2 linked regions of the Struthio camelus genome follow. The protein of the gene in region 2 interacts with the protein of the main gene of each other region in a pairwise test. Links are inferred from orthologs where the notes say so. Each region holds a gene or a part of one and is shown on either strand. Other genes may lie near its edges.

Evidence for each region.
Region 1: the proteins of WASHC3 (region 2) and HSBP1 interact in binary tests that used the Homo sapiens proteins (3 or more experiments, as listed by UniProt). The two-hybrid records come from large-scale screens. The link is inferred for Struthio camelus from reciprocal best matches to the Homo sapiens genes WASHC3 and HSBP1.

Annotation. Positions count from the first base shown.
Region 1 is NC_090951.1:4,839,902-4,847,481, reverse strand, and holds the start of HSBP1 (heat shock factor-binding protein 1), read right to left. Parts: upstream 3,017-7,580; 5' UTR 2,904-3,016; coding exon 2,859-2,903; intron 2,209-2,858; coding exon 2,142-2,208; intron 1,970-2,141; coding exon 1,851-1,969; 3' UTR 1,850-1,850; intron 844-1,849; 3' UTR 796-843; intron 133-795; 3' UTR 1-132. UniProt on the Homo sapiens protein: Negative regulator of the heat shock response. Negatively affects HSF1 DNA-binding activity. May have a role in the suppression of the activation of the stress response during the aging process.
Region 2 is NC_090942.1:63,564,124-63,571,266, reverse strand, and holds the start of WASHC3 (WASH complex subunit 3), read right to left. Parts: upstream 3,027-7,143; 5' UTR 2,778-3,026; coding exon 2,550-2,777; intron 900-2,549; coding exon 801-899; intron 1-800. UniProt on the Homo sapiens protein: Acts as a component of the WASH core complex that functions as a nucleation-promoting factor (NPF) at the surface of endosomes, where it recruits and activates the Arp2/3 complex to induce actin polymerization, playing a key role in the fission of tubules that serve as transport intermediates during endosome sorting.

The DNA.
Region 1 (7,580 bases), on a different chromosome or scaffold from region 2:
CAATATAAAAATGCTTTTACACATTGTAGTTGCAAAAAGCTGTTCTGTAATTTCAAGGGCTTGTTTGGGAAAAAGACAAAAAAAAAAAAAAAAAAAAAAGTGTTCCAGCATTCATCTTAAGTTATTGGCAACCTGTTGGGGAAAGATAAAAAAAAATTACTGAGACGAATTAGAGAAGCATGTTCATCAGAAACAGTGCAGTTAGTGAAGGATCAATAAAATCAGGCATCAGCAAAATTTCCACACTCCTGAGGGGGGTAGAAAGCACAACGTATCAAAAATTGTATTTGTGGGGTTCAGGCTGAGAGAATAAAGTTAGCTTCTGGGCACAATAAAGCCCATAATAATCTATATTTTATCAGAGTATCACAAAGAATAGGTACTTTAACAAGGCAAGATCTATACCTGCCTGAGACACACATTCCAATTATACAGACTGCATAGTATTGCAGAACCGACCTCAGAATTTCAGGCATAAGACAGGTTATCTAAGAAGTGTCTTATTAGCCACCTTAAGACACTATGTTAAGCTAACAGGATACATCTGGTACTCTATTTAACAGTTGCTTTCCATGGATTACAAAAATCAAGTTTTGCGCATACTGAAGTGAAATATCACTACTTGTATACAATAATTAAGCCCTCCAGCGTGCTTTGTTTATGCTCTGACAGTTTTAGAAGTCTTGCATTGCCACCATCCTCTGAAATGCCTTTAGCAAGCCTTGTAAACGTTGTGTGTGTGTGTGTTACTTGGTCACTTAAATTCATTTACATGTTGCTGTGCTAGACTTTTACCTGCTGCTTTTCAAGTAGATGAAAGATCTGCTTCTCTCATGTTTTTGCCTAACAATACAGGGAGACATTATCAATCAAGAAGTTGCATGGTAAGAACAAACACCACATTTACCTTTCTATACAAGATTTCTTTTTCCAGGGCAAGTTCCCTTAGAATATGCCTCGCCTTATGTTTAAGCATTCTAGTATATTCATTGTCGGAGTCAGCACCTGCTGCTGTGCAGTAACACAACTGAGTCATGTAATCACAGCAAGTTCCTAACTTACATAGGAGAATCACAGAACAGCCAAGGTTGGAAGGGACCTCTGGAGATCACCTAGTCCAACCCCCCTGCTCAAGCAGGGTCATCTACAGCACAGGATCGTGGCCAGGTGGGTTTTGAATATCTCCAGGAAAGGAGACTCCACAGCCTCTCTGGGCAACCTGTTCCAGGTTTAGAGGTGACTGATAGTAACTCACTCATCAGCCCCTGTGCGCACCAGCAGGTTCTGGAGGCTTTAGGAGCTTATCGGGAGCTAGAGTCTACACTATGCAGCTGAAGATGGAAGAGTAGCACCAAGTCAACAGTAACTTTCTAGCTATAAAAATCAGAGCAGAGGGTGGAAACATGCATGAGATTATGGTCCTTTTCAGAAGACTCAAATGCGCAGAGAGAAGGGAGAAAAGATCAGCTCACTTTGTTACTGATGTTCTAAGTTCTTCTCATCTCTTCCCCTTCCTGTGTCATTATTTCAGATCTTACTAAGAGTACCAGAGCAAGTGAATAACAGAAGGTGAATACAACTACTATATTTCCTCATTAACTAACTAGAAATGGAGAAAAGGGAACTTTCATCCATTATTGGTGAAGGAAACATCATTGGTGAAGTAGGAACGGCTGAAGAGAGCAGATCAGCATCCTGTTTTTTGTATCATAAAGTACAGAGCTACTCCACATGAATTTCAAATTTCAGACTGCCTCACAAGTCAAAGGACAAAATATTGTCTGCTTCAAAGTCAATAATTTCAAGTGAGGAGAGGATCTGTTTCAAGACTAACAAACAACTGTCTCACTTTAACTCTTGTTAGTAGCAGGGGCCTTGTTTTCGCCTTCTAATTCTTCCACTCCTGCTTGTGTCATGAGGTCTGCTATGTTTTTCTCCAGGTCATCTATGCGACAGCTCATGTCATCAAGTTAACTGGAGTTAAGGAATATGACTGCAAGCTTTTTTTTTTTTTTTTGATTATGGCTTTGCTCAAACTCTTACGCTCACTTTCAATGTCTTGCAAATCCCACTTCAAACATACATAAGAATTCTTGTGCATCCATAGGGTATAATAGCTATCTGACTTTAAAAAAGGATATTTCTTCCAATGATTTGGTCAGACATGGTTTGAAATTTGTCCTGCATTTGCTGAAGCAATGTCTGCACCTGATAGAAAGAAAAAAAAGTCTGGTTTTTTTTTTTTCGCATTGAAGGAATTATTACTGTATTTAATCTCATTTTATTAGAATATGAAACAAGGCAAGCATAAAGTTTTGTTTCATGGTTGAGCTCAACAATGAAAAACTCTATGGTTTATTTCCCAATTTAACTATCATATCATGAACAAGAGAACTGAGGCTCACAGTAAACAATTTTAGTGTTCTAGAAAATGCCCGAGTGCCACAACCAGAGCTACACCCACAGCAGTTGCTTCCAGCGAGCTACGTTAATCACGCGCTGACGCTCTTTTCAGTATCAAAATAACAACCTGAGAAAAGACAAGCCTTTCTCTCTGCACTCCCAAACCCTTGCTCGCACCCGCCCCCCGCCCCCGATAACCCCTCCTTGCAACCTCTCCGCACACACAGAGGCGGATCCGAGCTGCTCTGGCCGCGCACGCTCCAGCGGACACAACCCTGCGGCCAAGGCGATTTCCAGCGGGGCTGGAAGGGAGGAAGCCCCCGGCGGCCGGCCCGGGGCGAGGCCCAGCCCTAGCGCTCCTCGAGCAGGCCTCGGCCGACCCGCCCGCCCCTCCGCGGCGGGGCTCCGCGACCCCCCCGGCCCTCCGCGGCGGGGCTCGGGCGCGGCGGCCTCACCACGGCGGTGAGGTCCTGCACGGTCTTGGGGTCGGTCTCGGCCATGGTCTCCGGGGCGCGGCGGCTGCAGCGGCTCGGCGGGCGCTCGAGGGCCCAGCTCCCGTCTCCAAGGCAGCGGCACTTCCGGGCCGCTGTCGTCACTTCCGCCGCGAGCTCTCGCGAGAAGAGTCCCTGGGGCATTCTGGGAAACGTAGTCCGGGCCGCCCGGAAGTGACGCGCGGCGGCAACGCCGCGGCCCGAGGCCGGCTGGGCCGCGAGGGCGTTAAAGGCCTCTCGTTGCCCGAGCGTTAAGCTTGAGCGTAATCCCGCGGGTTTTCCTCGTGCTTAGAGGAAAGGCTTTTGTCGTGCGGAGATTTAGTAGTTTTGCTGATGCTCTTAAAAATGACTTTACAACTTTGCAGAGATTACAAGTGTATTTTTGTAGCCTCGCATATGGGCCTCTCTGGCGAGGCTTTTACCCTCTTTCCTGCCTAACGTAAAAGGAAAACGTAAACGAGCAGTTAAGCCCGGTTAGCGAGTGTTCGCAGGTAATCTGTGTTCACTGGGGAACCGTTACGGATTAGCAGTGAAAGCCAGAAATGTTACATAAGTGGGTTGATGACGAAAATAAATATATTGCTGCCTTCATGACAGAAAGCACAAATAACGGAGTTGCGTGCATTAGCCTAAATTCCCCTCTGCCACAGATTAATGACGTAGTCCGTAAAATACTGCAAAGCTTCGTGGGGGAGGCTTTTGCAGTGGGGATGGGTGCAGGATAGATGTCCTCGGGGGAGGTTTATAGGCTTTTTAGACCCAAACCTATCCATTTATAACTTTCTTTAGTGAAATGAGTTGATGTTTGTATGGCATGATAGTACTGAGGTATGATCTCAACTGCAGTTAACAAAAACGTTGAATATGAATTTGTAGATGAAGAACGGTCTCCGTTAGCGGTAGATGGTTCTCAGATGGCTCATTTCTGCTGAAAGCCGAAAGCTCTGCCTTATCCCCTAACGAGCAGCAAATGTGAGCTGCTGTGTATTTGCATTATTAATGTGCCTTTTGGAACTGCAGTAGTCATATAAGAACAATTTAGTGTCAATTTGGGGAAATTTTGTTGTCTGTTGAAAAGTAAACATAGCTTCTAGGTCTGTGAAATGCTGCCTTTTGGAACGCTGTGGTAGTAGTGTAAGAACTATTTAGTGCCAGTTTGGGGAAAGTTTTTTGTCTGTTGAAAAGTAAATACAGCTTTCAGTTTTGAGAAGAGCTAAGAAATTAACTCCTATTTATTTGTTTGATATGTTTACAAAAGATGGCTGGTTTTTTGACTGTTACTTGAAGCACATAACCTATCACTTCAAAAAGGTCCTTATATCTGGTCTCGAAGAGCACATCTTAGTGCAAATTTTTCAACTCACCTGAATGCTGACATGAGTCAGGGGGCAGATGGTGGTGCCCACGGGGTCGGACTGTGGCTGTTCCCTGGCTTCAGACCCTGAAGGATGTGGCGTAGCAAATCTGGAGACCATATCTTCCCCTGTGCCCTTTGAGCATAGGACTACAGGGAGACAACGTGGTGCTCACTGCCATGGTTCCTCTCCTGTGTGCCCCACGTGCTGCTCGGGGTGGCCAAGAAGCCATGGCAGTGGGGAGAGGCAGATGCAGAGCAGGAGAGGTCTGGCTTGTGCACTTGTGTCTTCTTGCTCTGAGCTGAGGGTGCTCTCTACTGGTAAAAGTATATTGCTATATCTGGTTATCTTCTCAGTATTTGCAGCTCCCTGAGTAGTCTAGAAAGGAGGGTAGCTGCCAGAAAATGAGCTGATGCCTCAAGCCGTTGGACAGACCATTTCTGTCTCTTCTAGTCGCTAGACAGGGGTGTCAAGGCTACAGATATGAGCTAGATGCCTGCCAGGAGATTCATATGGCCCAAGGTCCTCTACCCACCCACAACAGTGGATGACAATGCACATGCCTTTCTTACTTTTCCATTGTTTAACAGGAGAAAATAGGGACTGGCCTCATTCTGCAGCTTTTTTTTCCTAGATGAAGTTGTTGCAGCTTGACATGGAGAATTCAGCCTTATTTGTTTGGCTTCAGCACTTTGTAAATATGATCATGCTGCTACCAAGTGTGGCAAGTCCAGATATGGAACTGTATTGATTCAGCTCATGCCTCTTCTAACTCAAGCATTGCTACACCATGTTCCATTTTAGGGTATAGACAAACGCTAGATGCCTTTGACATATTGCTTAAAATGCCTGTCTGCAAAACTGATGTAACCATCTTTCCTGTTATGCAGGGAGTCAGATCAAACTACATAATGGGTCCTTGGGCCATTAAAATTTAAAAAAAAATGTTGAGCGGCTGCATACTTCTTAGAACTTTTAAGATTTTTTCTTTAATGGCAGGATAAAACATTGTCATTATTCATTTACTTCCTAGCATGGCATAGGTAAACAATGGCTAACTTAAAGTTTCAGGGGGGTTGTGTCCTTTTCTTTGTAAGACTGGCCTGAGAGAAAATGCTGTGCCAGGAGGAGTGGTAGGATTAATGATCCTTCACAGTAATGCTCGGAGATTACTAAAATGAATGGAGCTGTAGAAGGCTGAATTCTCTTGCTAGCTTTTTAATGATAAAGTCTTAATTAAAAGTGTACAGAGAAGGAGGACTTTTAGAATTTACAAAGAGGCTGTTATGTTCCTTAAAATCAAAGGAATTTAAAAAGATTGATTTAAAAACAGTTAATGAATTCATTTGAAATATGGGGACATGTAATTCCAGTGCAAAATGATTGATCCTCAAGTAGCAGTAAGTCATGATCAGGCTTTGCATTAAAGCAGGCACATTTTCAGTTTTCCAAAGAACTGAAAATGAACTTTCCCTATGTGAAAACCTGATAGGGATTTCGGGTACTGGCATCTGTAGATGTAGTTCAATTCCTATTTACTTTAGTGATGTAAGATAAGGCTCAAAATAATTCTCATCAAGTAACCACTTAAAGAAAGGCTGTTAATTTAGCAGCTTTTTTTTTTTTTTGTGCCAGTTAAAGACAAAATTACTTTAAGTAGTTAATACTGCAGAATTAATTGTATATTTGCTATTAGACCTCTTTTCCTGTAATCATGAAACAGGGATTGGGAGGCATCTAATGAAATAAAAAGATAAGTTAAGATAAAATTTCCCAAAGGCAATTTTTGCAAGGACACCTGCGTCTACTCTGTTCTTACCAAAAACAGCGTTGTGGCTTCTTTAATGACCTCAGGCAGTTGTGGTCTTAGAATTACATCTTGTTTAAAATGCAGAGGACCACGTTCCTGGTAGAACTGGTGCCTTAGCTCAGTATTAATAATTGAGAAAAGATTATATTATTATGTTTATGTGTTCTGTAAAGCAGAATACATGAATGGGCAGAAACTGAACCACAGGAAGTTCCATCTAAAGCTGAGAAAAAACTTCTTTACTGTGAGGGTGACAGAGCATTGGAACAGGTTGCCCAGAGAGGTGGTGGAGTCTCCTTCCCTGGAGATATTCAAAACCCGTCTGGATGTGATCCTGGGCAATATGCTCTAGAGGGCCCTGCTTGAGCAGGGAGGTTGGACTAGATGATCTCCAGAGGTCCCTTCCAACCTAAACCGTTCTGTGATTCTGTGAAAGCAATAAATAGCAATTATACTTTAATTACTTTGACTATCAGATCTTATTTTGGCTCCCCAATGACTTGCAATGGCTCTGAATGTTATTCATATAATGACCGTCCACTCAAACTACTGCAGCCATTCTTGCCTGTTCCCTCATTTGAGTGTGCTCAGTTTATGAAGCTTAAGGTACTGCCTCAGCATTTAAAATCACAAATAAATTTTTTGGTATTCAAGTCAAAGGAATTACAATAAAATCTGGAGAATTAAATGTTAATATCTCGATTGCAGCCTGAGTGGCTCGTGGCAGAAATTCTTGAGAAAATATAAAAATGTAACAAACAGAACTCAGTTACTACTTTCAGAGGAAGAACACTCCTTAGAGACTGTCAAACATACACGAGGTTGGGACTTATTAAACGAAGAACGGCACTTAGCAACTGCCAAGGGAAAAGTAAATGCTCAGTAGCATGATTCATGTGAATGATATTTAACTGGATATATCAAAAATTATGGGACCAGCAAAACTAGGACTAGAATAAATAGGAAAGTGATTTGTAGCAAAACAGGGATAATTCAGTGTGCTTTTTTTCAGATTATGCTTCAGAAACTAAAACAAATGGCTTTTGCCATTCCTCGCCTCCCTTCACTTCATTCTTGCACACAGGTATTTCAGAGCACTATCTCCTTAGCATTGCTACTGAGCCCTTTTGTGACTGAGAGAGGAAAAGCTTTTGTAAGCCGTATTTTTCAGGAGGGAAAGGCTTGTTAGTGGTCAACAACGACAAAACAACTCTTTCAAAACTATTGCCAAGGTGCTGGAAGGAGAAGGATGTTACATCATTCTTCCCTTGGATTCACCAAGCTTTCAGCAGCAGAAAGCAATCAGAAACAGTGCCAAACTATGACAATGTATGCTAATATTAGTGGTCTAATAATACCTGCTTTATAATCTATGGGAATGTTAACACATTCCTTACTGATATCTCTAGGGCCAGGACAAGTTATAACCACTGTGCTCAGAGACTAGTCTGTAAAAGGGCAAAGAATAGATTATACATTATTACCTTTAGTGGTACCAATTACGTAAGGAGAAGGACAAGT
Region 2 (7,143 bases):
TCTCAGATTACACGGCTTAGTCTAATTGGATATGACAATTGCTGCTGGCTAGGGCTGTATAGTAGTCTTTGTTGAGTAAGCGAGTCAACAGTTACAAAAAAACCCTCATGATAAAAAGGTTAAGCTTAAAGCCACATTAGAAACCAACCTTTCTACAAGGGATGAAACACTCTAGACCTGTTCTGTGATCAATTCTAGTACTGTCAGTCTGGTATGTTTTCTTGGACACTAAATTCACCATAAAAACTTGTCAGCTTTTACTGTTTTTACTTTTCTCTTTCTGAGAAAACACTAAAATCAACTGCCTCATGTTCCATGCTAATCACTTGCCAAAAACGTCTTTTTTTCACATGAATATCATTTACATGCAGAGCTTAGCATATCACCCTTTCAAAGTAAAGGTGGAAAATATTTGCAAGAAAATTTTGATGTGCATCGTAGGATGAGATGAATACTGACTTTCAAAATAGATCCAGCAGCATAGAAAGAAGGCATTCTTCTTCCAAAAGAAGAGCATATCCACAAATGGAGCTGCTCAGAAAAAAGTCCAAAGACTGTGCCAAATGCAAAAGTTTAAGGAAAAAGGTTATCAGTCTGGTACAATCAGCAATTCACATGGGTAACTTGGAAAAAAAAAATCTGTCTTACGTCTTCACTCAAGAGAAACACTGCATCGATTAAATTTTCTGGTTTAAGCTACCTGGCCATCTTGCAGCAAAACGTATCAAATTGAATGGTTCTCATTTCTGAATTTGTTTTTTCATCTATACAAATTGACAAATGGGAAACAATAAACATACCTCTTCACAAACAGTAGAAAATCGGTTGAGAAACTGTACGGTGTGAACCACAAACTGGTTTAGAAATGCTACAGTTCTTTTCTGCTGAATAGCAGGAACCTGCATTAAACAATATAAGAAAATTAGCTTATACACAGGCATCAACTCTCACATCTAGACTAAGATAGTTATAAAAAACTGCAAGTATTTTAGAAGAAATTATTTTAGAAGTAAGCCCTAAGCGTGCCTGATATGAATGCATATATATATACATATATATATGTTTATTCATTGCTTATAGATATACAAATTCTTTTTCATTAAAAATTTACTAATGTCATACTTGAAAAGTTAAAAGATACATGGAAAAGGGAATATTCACATAACTGAAGGACAGTTACCTTATTTAAGCAAATGCTTTTGAATGAAATTATGAAAACCCTTGAAAATCAGCATTAAAATTAAAAAAAAAAAAAAGAGAGAGAGAGCAGGTCAGAACCTCTCTTTTGGAAGTTTAAGGAGGAAAAAGAAAACCTGTCCATCCATGTAAGTACTCAGTTAAAACTATCATCAATACTTCACAATCAAAAATAAGGAGTAGTGAAATTGCTGTCTGTCTTTACTGAATACCTATATATTTTTTTCAAGCTAAGATTATCCTAAAATTAGACTTCAGTGTCGCTCTTCCAAGTGGGAGGTTCATGCACATGTACTTTTCAGGCTAAAAGGTGTAGAAGGTTATATTTGTCGAAAACAGGTGTGGTGTTCATTTGCAACAAATAGCTGGCATTTTTATTTAAACCATTAGAAAAGATGCAAACCGAGAACATTCACACAAATGTTTGCCTATAAAATTACAGGGCTTCAGAGTTCATTTTTGGACAATAGTGAAAAGTCTTAAATTCCACATAAGAAGTTACACAGGGAATCTTAATTGATTCAAGCAGAGCACTTACAAGGAAAAACATTTGTAGCAAAGCTTTAGCTGCACTGAACCACAGTTTGTCTTAATCAGCACCTGAGTACGACTACATTGACAGGATTAGCTGTTCAGCAAGCACTTACGGTTGCTACTTGTTTGCTGCACTCCCACCTGTCAGTGCAGCCATTCACTACCTTTGCCAACATGAAAACATCCTGATTTTTTGTGAGATTGTTGTTACTATCGCTTCAGTTGTCAATCTGTTCACCTGTAGTCCAAGATCTCCTAAAGTTCAATTCTGTAGCTCCAAAACCATCAAACAGCGGTCAAATCCTTATCAGAAAGTTACGGGGCTAGGAAGATGGATGGAAGGAAGGGGAATCATCAGGCCTGGAACTGTCCAATCCTTATGCTTGATATTTCATAAACAAAGCTAATAACGTGGGTTTTTTTTTTTTTTTTGTTTTAATCACTAAAAGACCAAGGTAGGCAGCTTTGCATAGGGTTTGTTTCACAGTTCGAAGCCCGACACGGTTTAACCCGTAAACACGACGCTGTTACTTGCAGCCAAGCGCCTCTGGAAGAGCGCAAGACTGTCCCCTCGCAGACACAGCTCAAGACGAGACAAACCGCCGGGCCTGCCGGGCGCCTCCGCTGCAGGGACGAAGTTACTTTCGCATACCACTCTGCGCCCCGGGGGCGGCGGCCGGGCGCCCCCAACCCCCCACGCCGGGGCCTCGGGCGGCAGCACCCGGCCCGCCCAGCACCAGGGTCAGCGCAGCCGCGGCCGGGCCGGGCCGGGCCGGGCCGGGCCAGCTGCGGCCTCCGCGGCGGCCGGCGCCCCGTACCTTGGTGAGGTCAATGCCGGAGCCCACGATGGGCAGCCCGTCCTCATCCATCGCCCCGCCGCCCCGCGGCCGAGGGGCGGCCGACAGCCCCGCCGCCCCCCGCAAGGCCCTCGCGCTGCGCGCCCGACCTCTGACCACCGCCCGGAAACAAACCCGCCCGCCGGCTCCGGCAAGGCGCTGGCCGCTGTGCGCATGTGCAGCGCCCCGGCCCCTGCCGCAATGCGCCATGGGAAGTGTAGTCCGAGCGAGGTGCGGGGTTGGGGGGGCGGGGGGGGAAGGCGAGCTGTGGCGGCGGCGGCGGGCGCAGGTCCCCCCGCCTCTACCGGCCTCCTTCCGCGTCTTTGTAAGGGCGGCTGCTGAAGCACCGCGGTGCTGCCTTCGCCCTTGTTCTTCTAGTGCGTTTGGCAAAAGGCCCCCGTTGCGGCCGGGGCTCACGCTGCCGCACCGACCTGTCTGAAAACAAGGCCTTGGATAACGGGCTGTGGAGGGGAAAGGTCTTCCCCAGCCGTCAGGCAGCCAAATAAGGAGAAATATCCGCAAGGAAACTGATTTTTTTTTATTTTTTGGGGCGTTTTTTGGATGATGGAGGGTCGGATAAAAGTCACGAGCAGTGAATGAGCCTGGGCAATCAAGTTACGAAAGATTTCTGTACCTTACTGCAAAAGGAGCTAAGGGAGTACGGGGAACCTTAGCTGCGGCCTGTCTTAACGTTAGTGTTTCAGTTAATGCTGCTTAGTGCTCTGCCACTATCATCTCTGTAATCGTATTTTATAAACTGATAGTTTCATTCAGATTTTATCAGTGCTTTTCCTTAGGGTTTTCCAGGATTGTACTGCGTATCTCATGGATATATTCAAAACTTAAAAAATACGTCTGTAATATAAAAAGGATAATATAAAAATAAATATAAAAAAATCATTTTTAATAAAGATATGTTGAAAACATTCATGAAATGTGTTTGGAAAGCTGACTGTAACGGGCCTTTACTAAACAAGTAACTTTTCGCTTGAACAAGTCTCTTAAATAGCAGTATCTCTCACTTCTGCCTTTTATTTGTTTGGTTTTGACAGGATATTTAACATGAGAAGATTTATAAGAATTAAGCTCGGCTGAATGTTCACTTTGATGATTTTGCAATAACTGGTGTACTGGTGGTACAGCTCACCAGTAAACCCAGACAAGGTGAAAGATGGGGTTTCCTCTGATCATAGGGTAACAATGGATAGGAGAGTGTTTAAATAGTTAACACATGATATGAGAATAAAGACATAATAGAAAATTCGTATCATTAAAACAATAGGGGATCACAGTCAGCTTGAGCAGAAAAGTAATACCAGTATTTAGTGACAATGAAGCAGGTTATTCATTGAAGTTCTTCACCATACAGTAATGTTGGTATTTTCCAAAGATGCCCTTGCTGTATATGTGCCTCCTGTGCTGACCTATGGTGATGTTTTCTTTTGTTCAGCAATACCTACCACTGCTTTCTATTTGCTCTCATGTTTAGGTTATAAGAAGGTCTACTCTGTTTCTCTCGGCCAAAGAAACTTAGGGGTATCAGACTCTAAGGAAAAAGGGAATGGTCAGTAGGTTTCCAAGTGTTCATCCGGAATAATTCCCTAACTGTAAAACAATCAACCTCTTTTTTTTTTTTTTATCTCTGAGAAGTTGCTCATGTTATTTTCCGCTGTGGCTAATTTCAGAGCACTAATCAAACCATTTAGGTGTGGGGTCCCAAAATGAAGACGGTATGGACCACTCCAATAGCTTGCTTCGTCGAAAGGCTTTTCCACCTCCCTCTCACCCTTCACCACCAGCTGGTGAACTCAGTTTATCACTTGTTCTCGGTGAACCCATCCTTGAGGCAATTCAAATTGCCATCCTGGCAGACAACTAACCTTAGAGGAGGGAGTTTTTCCTCTTTGGGTAATGAGCTGAATCAAATCAGCTGAAGTGTGCATTGAACACCAGAGTCTGTGTATAAGGGAGGGGCAGTGTTAAAAGAAAACGAGACCTTTCCTTTCAGGGAGTGGTAGCAAAATGCAGATAATTCTGCCATCTCATGCAACTTCGCCCTTGGCGTTTCAGGAGAACAGCAATAGAAAGAAACACTTATTTGCTGGATGCGCATCTGATGTGTAACTTTAAAAATATATAATGAACTGTGCACGGTGATTGAGATAGCTATTTTGCTGGCTGAAACTCTGATAGTCACAGTAAAAGCTTAGGAAGGAGAGCTGATCTTCTGGCCCTGTTAACCGCATCTGCCATCTGTGCTCATAAGATTTTGAATGTGGTATATACATTTATACACAGTTATATACAAGAGATTGTGAAATGAACAGAGAGTGTTTGAACCCTATCTTGTATTAAATAATTGGTTTCCACATTGTCAACAGGTCTTCTGTGAGCTATACTGTCTGTATTCTTTGGGACTGATCAACCAGCCAGCTGGTTAGGCTCAAAGAAGAACAAGTCATTACACATTTTAGGACATTGCCTCTAAAAGAGCCAGGAATGGCAATTACAGATAGATCATGCATCCAATCCTGTGGCTGATTAAGTATGAATGAAGGATGAGAAACTACCTTTAAATCTCCTAACACATAGCTCCAAAGAGAGCATCAGGCACACTAGCAGTTTTAAGTAAGCCCCAGCTCCAGCAGTACATGCAGATTGCATTTGTTCCTTCTGTGAAAACTGTCATTAACTCTCAGAGTTTATTCACAGATTTGACAAAAATAATTAGTTCAGAAAAGAGGCTAACCTTTGGAGTGTTCATTGTGAGCACAGAATTCTCAGTCCTGACACCTGGGCTGTGCTTTGGAGAATCCAAGCTAAGCAACTAAAGATCCTGGAATGAGGTTGTTGGTAATCTTTTGTTCCAATGATATAACAAACAGCTCAACCTTTTTAATTAAAACTTTAATTCATTTATATTCTAGGTTTGTGTATTACTGGAAGACAAGACAAATCAGAGCAATTTGGGGTTCCAGGTTGTTTGTAACAGCAGTGTATCCAAATAGAGTGTAGTGGAGTAAGTGCCTGATGAAAACACCTCATGGCTACCTCTAAATACTCATAAATCCAATAAAACTATCTAAATTTAGAGCAGTTAAGAATCTACCATAGTCTGAGGCTGTCAGTAGGAAGCTTCTCATGTGATGAGATGAACCAAAAGGTGCTAATTACTTTAATACTATTAAGATTATATCCCTAAAGTGAAGATTATATCCCTAAAGTGCTATGCTAATTTTAATTAAAATTTTAAATTCTCAGTTTACTTCCAAATTATTTTGTTTCACTAAGCAATCCCATTTCCAGGATCTATGAGGACTGGAATAGAACTGGAGTACCTACCTCTGTTGCTCCGAAATTAGGTAAAATATTCATTTATGTGCTGAAGCTGCTTTTCTTTGATTTCGTATTTAGTGGTTTCTTTAACTTATCTTTCGTCATACTCATATCCCTCTTATTCTTTCAGCTAAAATACTACATAGCAAAGTCCTTTTTGTCCATACTGTTTGAATTATTGAACAACCTGGGTTTTGTACGGTGTTTTGGCCCAGTGACATATACTTGGCAATTTCTCACATCTCTCAAAGGAAGGAGGGGGTTAGCCTACAAATTCAATAGGTTTAATCTAGCCTATGGCAATTCTGCAAATTATTTTTGGGGGAAGGAACTGTTTGTTTAAAATATCTAAGTGAATTATCTTGCCATCTTAATTATCTTAAAGGACAAGTTGTATGCAAGAAGAATGAATCTCATTTACCAAAAAATGCCCATAATGTAAGTTTTCCAGGCATTGCTAAAGAAATTTTATAATATAGATGCTTAGCCAAATCTTAGCTGAATCATTTGATCTGTAAAATTGGACAAGAAGTCTGACAAGAATCGGCTCGTCTGTGAACTTTCTGGTACTTCCTTCTTTTGATTTGGCCAAAAATACTGCGCAGAAAGCTGTAACACAGCACTTTTTCTCCCAGCTGGAACTACAAAATGCAGGGTATGAAAAGTGAAAAACACAAACAGAGTGGAGGCAAATGATCCAAATTTTTCCAAAACCTCTTTAAAATGTTTTAATCGAGCTAGTTAAACTGGAACTATTAATGTCTGAATCCCAGCGGGAGGATTTATACAAAATAATTCAGGGATAATATCCAAATTTACACTGTGTACGATTTGAAAATGAATTTCTGTACCAGCACCCATACTGGATGATAAATATCACATTTAAGGAATAAATACTGTACAGTATGTAACTGAAAGCAGCTTATATCCTATGCATGTGTACATATATATGTAGGCATGTAAAGACTCAGTTATGTAGCTCCACCTTTCAGCGAAGCCAAGATTAAAGACTGTTCAACAGTTATCAAAATAAATTTCAGTTGAATATTAGTATTGGCAAGATGTTAATCTTAGAGATGCTTAGGCTAACTTGGAGTGCAAAAGCTATGTGTACAGAAAACTGATCAAAGCTTTGTCTCCATCACTAGTAAAAAAAATACTGTCAATGTCTAGTGTTTAGCATGCACTGCAGAGGAAGGGAAACAGCATAGGTTTCAAAGCACTGAAACTGATCTGCTAC